Linked DNA regions of Canis lupus familiaris. The protein of the gene in region 1 purifies or fractionates together with the protein of each later gene. This does not show direct contact. Links are inferred from orthologs where the notes say so. Each region holds a gene or a part of one and is shown on either strand. Other genes may lie near its edges.

The links.
Region 2: the proteins of USP44 (region 1) and EZH2 purify together in Homo sapiens (affinity purification with western blotting; 3 studies listed by BioGRID, with this or other methods). This does not show direct contact. The link is inferred for Canis lupus familiaris from reciprocal best matches to the Homo sapiens genes USP44 and EZH2.
Region 3: the proteins of USP44 (region 1) and CETN2 purify together in Homo sapiens (affinity purification with mass spectrometry; 4 studies listed by BioGRID and IntAct, counting the BioPlex papers as one, with this or other methods). This does not show direct contact. The link is inferred for Canis lupus familiaris from reciprocal best matches to the Homo sapiens genes USP44 and CETN2.

The regions. Positions count from the first base shown.
Region 1 is NC_049236.1:35,701,091-35,704,741, forward strand, and holds part of USP44 (ubiquitin carboxyl-terminal hydrolase 44), read right to left. Parts: intron 1,630-3,651; coding exon 1,521-1,629; intron 1-1,520.
Region 2 is NC_049237.1:1,619,103-1,622,753, reverse strand, and holds part of EZH2 (histone-lysine N-methyltransferase EZH2), read right to left. Parts: intron 2,373-3,651; coding exon 2,256-2,372; intron 1-2,255. UniProt on the Homo sapiens protein: Polycomb group (PcG) protein. Catalytic subunit of the PRC2/EED-EZH2 complex, which methylates 'Lys-9' (H3K9me) and 'Lys-27' (H3K27me) of histone H3, leading to transcriptional repression of the affected target gene.
Region 3 is NC_049260.1:122,023,750-122,028,055, reverse strand, and holds the start of CETN2 (centrin-2), read left to right. Parts: upstream 1-1,441; 5' UTR 1,442-1,481; coding exon 1,482-1,580; intron 1,581-2,497; coding exon 2,498-2,656; intron 2,657-2,967; coding exon 2,968-3,096; intron 3,097-4,306. UniProt on the Homo sapiens protein: Plays a fundamental role in microtubule organizing center structure and function. Required for centriole duplication and correct spindle formation. Has a role in regulating cytokinesis and genome stability via cooperation with CALM1 and CCP110.

The DNA.
Region 1 (3,651 bases):
ACTTGATTTTATGCATAATGACAGGTCTCACCTGATTTCACTAAACCTTTTGTTGTGTACACTTCCCTGTTCCTTCCTCCATACCTTTGTTCATGTTGCTCCCTTGGGCTGAAGTGCTCCCCCTTCTGTATATGCCCCATTCATTCACTTAATTAACATTTGTTGGGCAACTACTATGCACAGAGCTCAGTTCTGGGCCTTGGGATACAGGTGAAATAGACAAGGTCCCTGTCATTACTGCCAGAGGGAGAGAAATAAGTAAATAAACTACTAATTGCAGATAGTGGGTTTTACCATTTAAACAAAAATAAGGGACACCTGGTTGGCTCAGCAGTTGACCATCTATCTGCCTTTGGCTCAGGGCAGATGTGATCAAGTCCTGCATCGGGCTCCTTGCATGGAGCCTGCTTCTCCTCCCTCTGCCTGTGTCTCTGCCTCTCTTTCGGTGTCTCATGAATAAATAAATAAAATCTTAAAAAAAATAATAAATAAATAAACAAAAATAGGTAATGTAATGAGGGTTAGGTGGTGCTACTTTTAAATAGGATGGTCTAGGGCAACCTGGGTGGCTCAGTGGTTTAGCGCCACCTTCAGCCCAGGGTGTGATCGAGTCTCATGTTGGGCTCCCTGCATGGAGCCTGCTTCTCCCTCTGCCTGTGTCTCTGTCTCTCTGTCTCTCTGTCTCTCCCCGCGCCCCCCACCCCCCACCGTGTCTCTCATGAATAAATAAATAAAATCTTAAAAAAATAATTAAAAAAAAGAAACTTTAAACAAACCAAAAACCAATGTGTGAAAAACATGATTTCAATAGTTTCAAATCACAGCACATAAAGTAACTTAAGAATAAGCTCTAAGGTTAACGTAGTTATTTCAAGGTGTGAAAATCCATATGCCTTGCTTAACCAATAGTTATGCAAACTAATTCACCTGTTTCTGAACACTAGAGATTTTTTGTTTTTGTTAACTGCTCTGAATTGAACTATACAATACCTTAGATATCGTCCAAGAATGAAGCAGTTGGGCCACTCTTAAGTTAAAAATTTTAAACTTTTATACCTAAAATATGCTGAATATTAAACTCTATAAGCAGAAGTTTGCAAGAATAATATTACTACGCAGAAAATGTGAAGGGTCTACTCATCGTCAATCCAGGGAAGCTAACCAGGGTATTCTTATTGAATACGGAAGGTGTCCATGAGTCAAGGCTAGAGATAATGACAGAATTTCTTTGTCTTTAAAAAAAAACCCAGAAGTAGATAGATGTTAAGTCATCTGCTAGCCGAATTTATACTATTAAAATCTGCTTCATCATGTGTTAAGTTTTGAAGCACTATAAGCAAAAGGAATGACTAAATGAGAAGTGTATAGTTGGAAGAGAGACTGGCTGGCTCAGTAGAGCATGAGACTCTTGATCTTGGGATTGTAAATTCAAGCCCCACATTGAGTACAGAGATTACTTTAAAAATAAAAAAATCTTTAAAACAAAAGAAGTGTGTAGTTGGAATATTACTACTACTGACCTGAATCGTTTGAGATGTAGTCTGAGAACCTGAGGTAGGTGGCAAATCATAAGCTGTTTTTGTGCTTCTGTGAGTACAACTGATTTTGAAGAAAACCTTCTACGCTTTGCTGTGACATCAAAGACAGAATAAGAATCAAATTTAAAAATACAAAGAAATGCTGAGTGGACTTTAGATACTTTAGAAACATATTATACTGCGCTAGAGATAAAGACATGGCCTTGTTCTCAAAAAACTTGTAAGTACAAACACACACAATTTAAGAGCTAGTTAGGCAGACAGACACATAAACAATTAAGTATCTGATTTAATATACTCCTACAAATAAGGCAACAGAATGATCTAGTGCTGTAATATTTAAAAATGAATTTGACTATTCCAATTAAAGAAAAAGTTAAAACTTTCCCTAAACATACTTTAATATACTCTTCCCAAATTCTTTGAAAATATCATGGTCAGTTCATTTACTGAGGGAAATTGGAATTCCAGTGGGGGTGGGCCCTTAATAGCTCAGAATATTCTTTCCTACTTCCTGATAAAGCAGTCCTCTTCCAGCTCAGAGCCTGAGGCCTCCCTCAGTGTCTTGCTTTTGCTGTTTTCATACCAGATCTTAAACAAGTGGCACTTGGGATTCTGTTTTGTTGTCTCTTCTGCTTCTCTAGAGGTCTACCTAAAGCTTCTGGCTGGGGCACTATTTACCAGAGCTTGCTCTGGACACCCAGGAGCGGTCCTTCAACGTATACAAGAGCTCTGACTCCAGCCACAGCAGCAGCTGCTTCTCCTAAGGTGGAATTAGTCTCCCAGGAGGCTGTCTTCTAAGCCATCTCCACCTGCCATAGGTATCCTGTCTTCCAGGTCTCTGTTCCTGAGACTTGTGCTGTTCCTGTTCCTGTGCTGCTTAATGTCCTAGACTTACTTTTGGATCACCTCCCTGAATGTATGGCCTCAAATACGGCTATATACGTGATGTCAACTCCCTGACTTATAATTTTAAACATTTGCCTTTATGTATTAAATTATAACAGCTCTTATAGGACTTTATTTGGTAAACCCAGTAAACACATAGAAACAGGTTATAAAACCATATTCTATATTCATTCATAATATCTTTCTATTCCCAGATTTGGTGTTGGAGGCATCTAGAACCATTCACATTTATGTCCAAGAAAAAAATTACTTCATCATTCGAATTTGATAAAGGTTTTTTTCAAACATTATAAATCTTAGGCTACTTATCACAGAGTTCATATTAGCACTCAGAAAATGTTAATAGAAGGCATTCTAAAAAAAACATCAATTGATGTGACATTTCTTCAGTGCTGGAACATCCAATATTTCTTTTATATTACCTTTGAAGTTTAGTATCTAAGATCCAGGATCCTTTTTTTCAAACATGGAAATTAGAGAACACCTGAATACCTGGTATTCTAAGATACCACATGCATACTGATAGAGAAGATAAAGATACCAAAAAGACACAGCAGATCTGTCATAGTTTCATACACAATTTCCCTGGAGTTTGATGCTTTCCTTTAATTGAAATTACTATTTCAACCCCCCAGTGCTGAGTTCCTGGGTTCACCTCTAGTAGAAAATTTCTCATAATAGATCTTAATTGTCTGTTTCTTCCATTAGGTATGTGAGCACCTTGAAGGTGTTTTATTTCTATCCATAGCAATTAGAATAATGAATATAGAAGAGATAGCAGATGGTTTTTGACTAAATCTTTGTTTTTATGAAGCCAATCTCCATAGCAGCAGTCCAGCTATATATTTCCTTTAATAAATATATATATGCATATATATGTATATGTATATGCATATACACACTTATATATGTATATTATCTATATATCAAAAGGACTGTATAGATAGCAAAAGGACTCATAAAGCAAACATTTTATTTAGTACTAAATACCATGCTTTCCTTTTACTATTCCCTATTGCCTCTTTATTCTGCCTCACATATTAAGTTCAAATTTCTTATTAATCTTTTCCATAATTGACTATGAGATCAAAAAAGTTTAAAGGTCATCAATAAGGGAAAACAAACACATAGTTCACCAGCGCCAATTATAAAGTAGAAATATCTATCCCAGTTTCTTTTGATGAACCAACAAAGTTTACTTCCA
Region 2 (3,651 bases), on another chromosome or scaffold:
CAAGATGACAGATGAGTTTACGAAGGTTTAGAAGACAACAGAGAAAAAAGAAGATGCTAACTTAGCCGGGAAGAGCCCATCCACAAAAAGTTCTGGAGAAGGGAGAACTTAAGAACACAAGGGACTGGGGATACCTGGCTCAGTGGGTTAAGCATCTGCCTTCAGCTCTGATCCCAGGATGCTGGGATCAAGCCCCACCACGAGGAGCCTGCTTCTGCTGCTCTCCCTCTCCCTCTCTCTCCTCCTTCCTCTACCCCTCCCTCCCTCTCTCTCCTCCTTCCTCTACCCCTCCCTCCCATTGGAGGGGGCTCTCTCTCTCTCTAATAAATATAAATCTAAAAAAAAAAAAAAAAAACCCACAAGGGACTGGAAGCAGACATGCATGGTAGGGAGAGAATCTTCAATAAAGAATAAAAAAGACAGTAATGACAGATAAAAGACTAGAGGGTTCTGAAGTCCATATTTAAAGAGACTAAAGTAAGGATAGGTGTATCTTAAGAAGCCTGTAAACAGGGTATTGGTTAAAAACAGAATTTTAGGGATCCCTGGGTGGCGCAGCGGTTTGGCGCCTGCCTTTGGCCCAGGGCACGATCCTGGAGACTCAGGATCGAATCCCACGTCAGGCTCCCGGTGCATGGAGCCTGCTTCTCCCTCTGCCTGTGTCTCTGCCTCTCTCTCTCTGTGTCTATCATGAATAAATAAATAAAATCTTTAAAAAAAAAAAAAAACAGAATTTTAGGAGAATAATCTGATTAACAGAGTGGACTGGATAAGAGGACAGGAGGCCATGACAGGTGCGGCTGTGGAGGTGCCTCCGGCAGGTGCCTCAGGCACAGAGCACAATCAAAATGAAGAATACACCAGGAAAAGGCCATGAGACACACCGGGGACTGTCATGCAGCAGCAGGCAGGAAAAACGAGGAGAACAGGAAAATCTCAACTAATCCCCAGATGACAAATTTAGGACAACTGCAAAGTTCAGAAAGACAACAGAATCTTAGAAAAACAGGGGAAAGGGAAGTTGGGGAAGAAAGTACATAAGGGATATAAAATTAAGATTTAGATTTTAATGCACTGATCTATCTAGAGTCAAACTTACATACAACTAAAGAGTCCAGTTTGTGCCACATCTCACTTTCACTAATCCCATTTAAACTAGAAGTGTTAATTTTTTTGGATAAAGGCCAAAATTAAGTTATAATTGGCTATTTTGTCTTCCCAACTGTATCCATGTAAGCTCTGCTCCCCACCAAAACATATCCTAACCATAATATAGTCTGCCTAATGTGCCTTGGTCAGTGACCAGCAAAACCCATGGATAATTCTAAATAATAATGACAATTTTAAACACTAGATCCTTTCAGAATTGTAGTCTATGAAAGTATAAAATCTCCCATAAATTCTTGCAATTCTTAAACTAAATGTTTTTTGCATGAAGCCTTAAACACATGAGGCAATTACAGAAGAGTATCTGAAGTTTATCTTTAATCACTCACTGTAAAATCTTTCAGTTACTAAAGACATTAGAAACAACTATTTAGGGTAGACCCAGTGGCTCAGCGGTTTAGCGCCGCCTTCAGCCCAGGGCGTGATCCTGAAGACCAGGGATCGAGTCCCACATCAGGCTCCCTTCATGAAGCCTGCTTCTCCCTCTGCCTGTGTCTCTGCCTCTCTCTCATTTTCTCTCTCTCTCTCTGTCTCTCATGAATAAATAAATAAAATCTTTTAAAAAAATTTTTAAAAATAAACATATTTTTAATCCCAGGTAGAGGGGATTCCTGGGTGGCGCAGCGGTTTAGCGCCTGCCTTTGGCCCAGGGAGCGATCCTGGAGACACGGGATCGAATCCCACATCGGGCTCCCGGTGCATGGAGCCTGCTTCTCCCTCTGCCTGTGTCTCTGCCTCTCTCTCTCTCTCTCTCTCTCTGTGACTATCATACATAAATAAATAAAAATAAATAAATAAAATAATAAAATAAAATAAAATAAAATAAAATAAAATAAAATAAAATAAAATAAATCCCAGGTAGAATTCCTGCTCAACACTTTTTCTTTGGAGAATATTTTAACTTGGAAAGACTAGAAAAAGAGCAACACCACAAAGGCTTATTCAAATATATGTATCAGTTAAAAAAAAAAATCACTGAGTGTTATCATTTCAGTAACTTTTTTTTTTACTTGTTCTTGATTCACAAGAAAAGTGTGTTTTATTTAAAATAAGTGATAATAAAGTAAGCAGATCACAGATGTACATACCATAAAATTCTGCTGAAGGGGAGACCAAGAATACATTATGGGTACTGAAGCAACCGCATTCAGAGTCTTTAATGGGATGACTTGTGTTGGAAAATCCAAGTCACTGGTCACTGAACACTAGAACAGAAAAAAATAAAATTGACTCATAAGAATAAAAGGACAACCTCAAGTGGTAGACATATTAAAAAGGAACTCAGCCCACTTAAATAATTTTGAAAAGGAAATCCCTTTACCTAAGACAGAAAGGTTTCTAAAAACCATGAAGGATTCTCTCTCCTTCTCACTTTCTTTTACTTAGGGTGGGAAAAAAAAAAAAAAACGCTTCAGATTTTGCAAATTTTTAAAAGCCTCCAACGACCCTTCCCATACTTACCAATATCGATCAGAATCAAAAACGATATTTGCTAGCCTCAGGTTAACTGCTCCTTGCTTTCACTATAAATTTCTTGGCTTGATGCTTAGTTTCTTTTACATCTCCACCACTTGGAATAATATTATATATACCAAATATGCCTCTTAAATCTCAACTAATAATAATATGGAAACTATTAGGTTCACCTTTCTTATTTTTATCTTCCCTTCTTAAAAAACCCAAGCATCATTTGCTATTACCAGATGTTAAACAAAGATGAAGGGTCATAATAGATCTGAGTTTCAATCACAACAAAAGAAATTCCTATCCATTCTACAAAAGTATAATCTCTAAACTAGTAATAATAATAATAGGTAATATTATTAAGCACTTTCTATGTGCGAAGCACTATTTTAAACACATTCCATGTCTTTTATTTTTGTCCTCATGACACCATAAGATAGGGATTAATTCTTAGCCCCCATTTTACAGGTGAGAAAACTCTGGTGAATACAAAGGTCAGTAAATGGCCCAAAGCCATACATTAGACAGGGCTAGAATTTAAATCCAGAAAGAAAGTCTGACTCTGGAGCCTCTGCTCTTACCCACTATACATACTGCCACGATACTGTATCTCTATCATGTTTAAGTGCATAGACTCTCTGGAAATACCGTATTTCATCCAACCTATGATGACATTAATTTCAAGGCATTCCATTACTTTCTGTATCAGTAAGAAAATAATGTTGCCAGTTAAACTGTAACAAAGCTTTCTTTTTTTTTTTTTTTTTTTTTTTGTAACAAAGCTTTCTTATCACAGTAATTCTAAGATGCATTCCAGTTTCAGATGTTAAAACGTCAAAATTTTGCATCTCTTGATTCTATGAAATACGGTAAAAATCTGTGCCCAAATGATGACCACAGCACTTTCTATCCTGTCTAGGAATCCAGCTTTTCTTAAAGAGTACCATTATCCAATATCCAATTAGCAGGCTTCCAAGAACCTTCTCAAAAATACCCTTGGACATATATTCATAATCTACA
Region 3 (4,306 bases), on another chromosome or scaffold:
GATACATGAAAAGATGCTCAACATCACTCATCACTAGGGAAATGCAAATAAAAACTACAATGAGACATCCCCTCAGCTGCCAGAATGGCGAAAATCAACAACACAAAAAATAGCAGGTGCTGGCAAGGATGTGGAGAAAGGGGAACCGTCTCCCGGTGTTGGTGCGAATGCAACCTGTGCAGCCACTGCGTAAAACAGTATGGAGGTTCGTCAAAAAATTGAAAATAGAACTACTCTCATGATCTAGTAATTGCACTACTGTTACTCAAAGAACACAAATACAAATTCAAAGGGATACATGCACACTGATGTTTGTAGCAGCATTGTTCATGATAGCTAAGATATGCAAGCAGCCCAAGTGTCCATCAACAGATGAGTGGATAAAGGAGATGTGGGGTGTGTGTGTATGTGTGTGCGTGTGTGGGGAATACCATCCAGCCATAAAAAATGAAACCTTGCCATTTGCATTGACATGGATGGGGCTAGAGAATATTATGGCAAGTGAAATGTCAGAGAAAGACAAATACCATATGATTTCATTCATATGTAGAATTTAAGAAACAAAATAAATGAACATGGGGGGGGGGGTGAAGAGAGGCCAACCAAGAAACAGACTCTTAACTACAGAGAACACACTGATGGTGACCAGAGGGGAGGTGGGGGGGGGAATACGTTACATTGGTGATGGGAAATAAAGACTGCACTTATCATGATTAAAGAAAACAAAAGAAATTTAACAGAGTTTTATAAAAGAACAGTCTCCAGGCACCCCTCACACTTTCAAAACTCTTGTGTGACTTTGCTCAGTGTCTCCGCCCGAGTGGGTGTCAAAAAGTACATTTTGATGACCTCTCCCCTCATGCTCAGTCATATCTGTTTCACTCCCTCAAAACTCCCCCTCAAAGGGAGAGCCTCAGCGGGATTCGGTTTCTAAGTCGCAGCTGTCCACACCTCCTCGACACTCCCATTCCCTTCTCTGGCTCTGCTGTCCCTTGAGCACAGTCTCTGCTCTGACCCTCAAGGTCACGGTCTTCTCTGGCCCCTCTTTCCAAATTCAGTCTTAAGCCAGACCAGAAAGCCCCCAACCGGAAGGCCCCACCCAGCCCCCTACCCTCCCACCCAGTAGCGGATAGAAGGCAGCCTCCGAGGGTGAGGTCGTGACCCTTACCCGTCCGTAGGCGACCCCCCGGCCAGCCTCCGCGCGCCCTCAGCTTGCACCCAAAGGCCTCGGGCCGCTGGCGGTCACCCTTTTCTCCCCACCAGCATGAGCCGAGGATCGGCCGAGATGCCTCCGCCAAGGGGATTGGCTCAGCTCGGCGCCGGCTCAGCCAATCGGCGCTCACAATGTGATCCTGTCCAATGAGGCCAGGCCTCGGCTGTGAAAGCACAGCCCCCTTGCCCTGGGCCTGGCCTTTGTCCGCTTAGCCCCACCCACCACGGCTCCCCGCCAATGGGGAGCAGCGGCGGCGAGCGGGCTGCCAATGGGGAGCGGAGCCGCGCGCGCGGGGCGGTGGGAAAGGCGCCGAGTCAGTGTGTACGTCGGTTGCCGTAACAACGGTCCGCGGAGTCCATCGGCAATGGTGAGTGGGGGCCGCCCTTTGGTGCCCCGCGGCCAGGGGCTGAGCCCTTCTCAGGCTTCGTGTGGCCCTGCCGTCGCTCCCGCGCCGCTCTCGGCTTTGGAGTGCCCCTACTTCCTCTCGGCTAGTTCCCGGAAGGGTAGGGTAGAGACGTCGGCCGCCACCTGGGCCTGCGGTCCTGCGCCGCCTCCCCTTCGTTCAGTCTGCGCCCACCCATCCCTCGGGCGCGCGTGGCCTTCCCCTGCCAGCCCCCGCGTGACTGCCCCTGGTCAAAGAATACTCGGGTTACCCGCAGGCTCTGACCTCTCAGACCCTGACCTCCTGGTCGCTTCGTGCTACCAAAGTTTACCCACAGACCTGGGAGGAGGTTTATTATGTTTGATTGTTAACGTGCATTCTGAATAAATACAGGGATCTTTCGGGAGACGTTTTGATCTAATTAAAGTAGGCACAGACCTGCCTAGTGGATGGAATTTTATTATACACCTTAGCAAAGTAGTAATATTGGGCCAAATGTAGAAGTAATCACAAAGTTGGAGTACAGAGAGGAGGAATACTGCGAGCCAATGTTGTAAGGGCTTTTCTTGAATTAGGATCGCCAAATTCAAGGACAGCTGATCATCTGTACAGTTATCCACAGTCAGCTCCTTGGCTGGATCTCTTTGGGGATGATTTTCAATAAGAGATGTGCAAAGGAACACGGGATCTCCTTGCTTCTACAAAGAATAGGAAAAAAGAAGGAGGGATAGCGGTGCACGGAAAGATTGTTGTTTCAAGTAAAGCCCTGTTATCTCTCCTATTAAGCAAAGCTGTGGAATTGCTTGGTGTAAATATTTTATGTAAATATTTGTAACTATTTTATGTAAAATATGGATTGCATCACTTAATATCGTACTTCTGTGTTTGTAAAACACCTAAAGGCCTCTAACTTTAAGAAGGCAAGCATGGCATCATCTGCCCAACGAAAAAGGATGAGTCCTAAGCCGGAGCTGACTGAAGAGCAGAAACAGGAAATCCGGGAAGCTTTTGATCTCTTTGATGCTGATGGAACTGGGACCATAGACGTAAAGGAACTTAAGGCAAGCCCTTTACATTCCCACTGTACTGCCTTCCTTTCCTCTACTTCTTTCTCTTCTTTCCTTGTCACTGCTCTACCCCTTTTGCCCTCTTTTCCCTGCAAAAAGTTTTCCTGTTTTTCTCTTCTCCTGTCTTTATTTACCTCAAGTGTTATAAAATAAAATTGAGCACAAATATCAATCTGCATAACGCTATAGTGTTTCCCAGTCATTTTAACATGATTGTGTCAGATGCTGGCCTCATGCTCTCACTGTCATTTTTGTTCCTGCCAGGTTTTGATGTGCATATTGACATGATCCTGTTTTCATTGTAGGTGGCAATGAGGGCACTGGGCTTTGAACCCAAAAAAGAAGAGATCAAAAAAATGATAAGTGAAATCGATAAGGAAGGGACAGGAAAAATGAACTTTAGTGACTTCTTGACTGTGATGACTCAGAAAATGGTAAGTTACTAGGATAATCAGCCTATTTTCCACCCATATTGGTGAACAAATTTGAATCTAGATATAAAAATGTCTTCACTGAAGAAAGGTTAATACCAACTGGAGGGTTCTGCTGAAAAAGGGCAGTACTTATGACTGACAGGATGCTTAGGTTCTATCTGGCTCTCTTCAAGGCCACAGAATCACAGGAAAAGTCAGTTTACCCTTTGAGTAAGAGAACTGCTGTCACTCTTTTGTGATTATTTTTTTCCAACTGATGTGTTAACGTGCTGACCACAAGCAGTAAAACCTGTAAACACCAGCAATATTGCACTGCCTGACAATATGAAATGCCTATACTTTAAAGGTCAAAATTCTTTTCTCTCTCGTTTCTGATTCTGGGCGGCTCTAGCCTGAGGGCGGGTGACTTCTGACAGCTGTGTTTTCCACTACACTGGGAATTTGGCCTTTCAGCACTTTCATTTTTTTTCTTTTTTTCTGATTTTATTTTTTATTTTTTTATTTTTATTTTTTGGAGTTCGATTTGCCAACATATAGTATAACACCCAGTGCTCATCCCGCCAAGTGCCCCTCTCAGTGCCCATCACCCAGTCACCCCAACCCCCCGCCTACCGCCCCTTCCACTACCCCTGTTCATTTCCCAGAATTAGGTGTCTCTCATGTTTTGTCACCCTCACTGATATTTTCACTCATTTTCTCTCCTTTCCCTTTATTCCCTTTTGTTAACTTTTATATTCCCCAAGTGAATGAGACCATATAATGTTTGTCCTTTTCCAATTGACTTACTTCACTCAGCATAATACCCTCCAGTTCCATCCATGTTGAAGCAAATAGTGGGTATTTGTCGTTTCTAACGGCTGAGGAATATTCCATTGTATACATAGACCACATCTTGTCTATCCATCCATCTTTCGATGGATACCGAGGCTCCTTCCACAGTTTGGCTATTGTGGGCATTGCTGCTGTAAACATCGGGGTGCAGGTGTCCCAGCGTTTCACTGCATCCTTTCAGCACTTTCAAGGTTGAAGTCACCCATTCCCTAGTGCCTCACTTGTCCCCATTTTATTTTTTAAAATTTTATTTATTTATTCATGAGACACACACACACACACACACACACACACACACACACACAGAGGCAGAGACACAGAGGGAGAAGCAGGCTCCATGCAGGATCAGGCCCTGGGCTGAAGGCGGCACTAAACCACT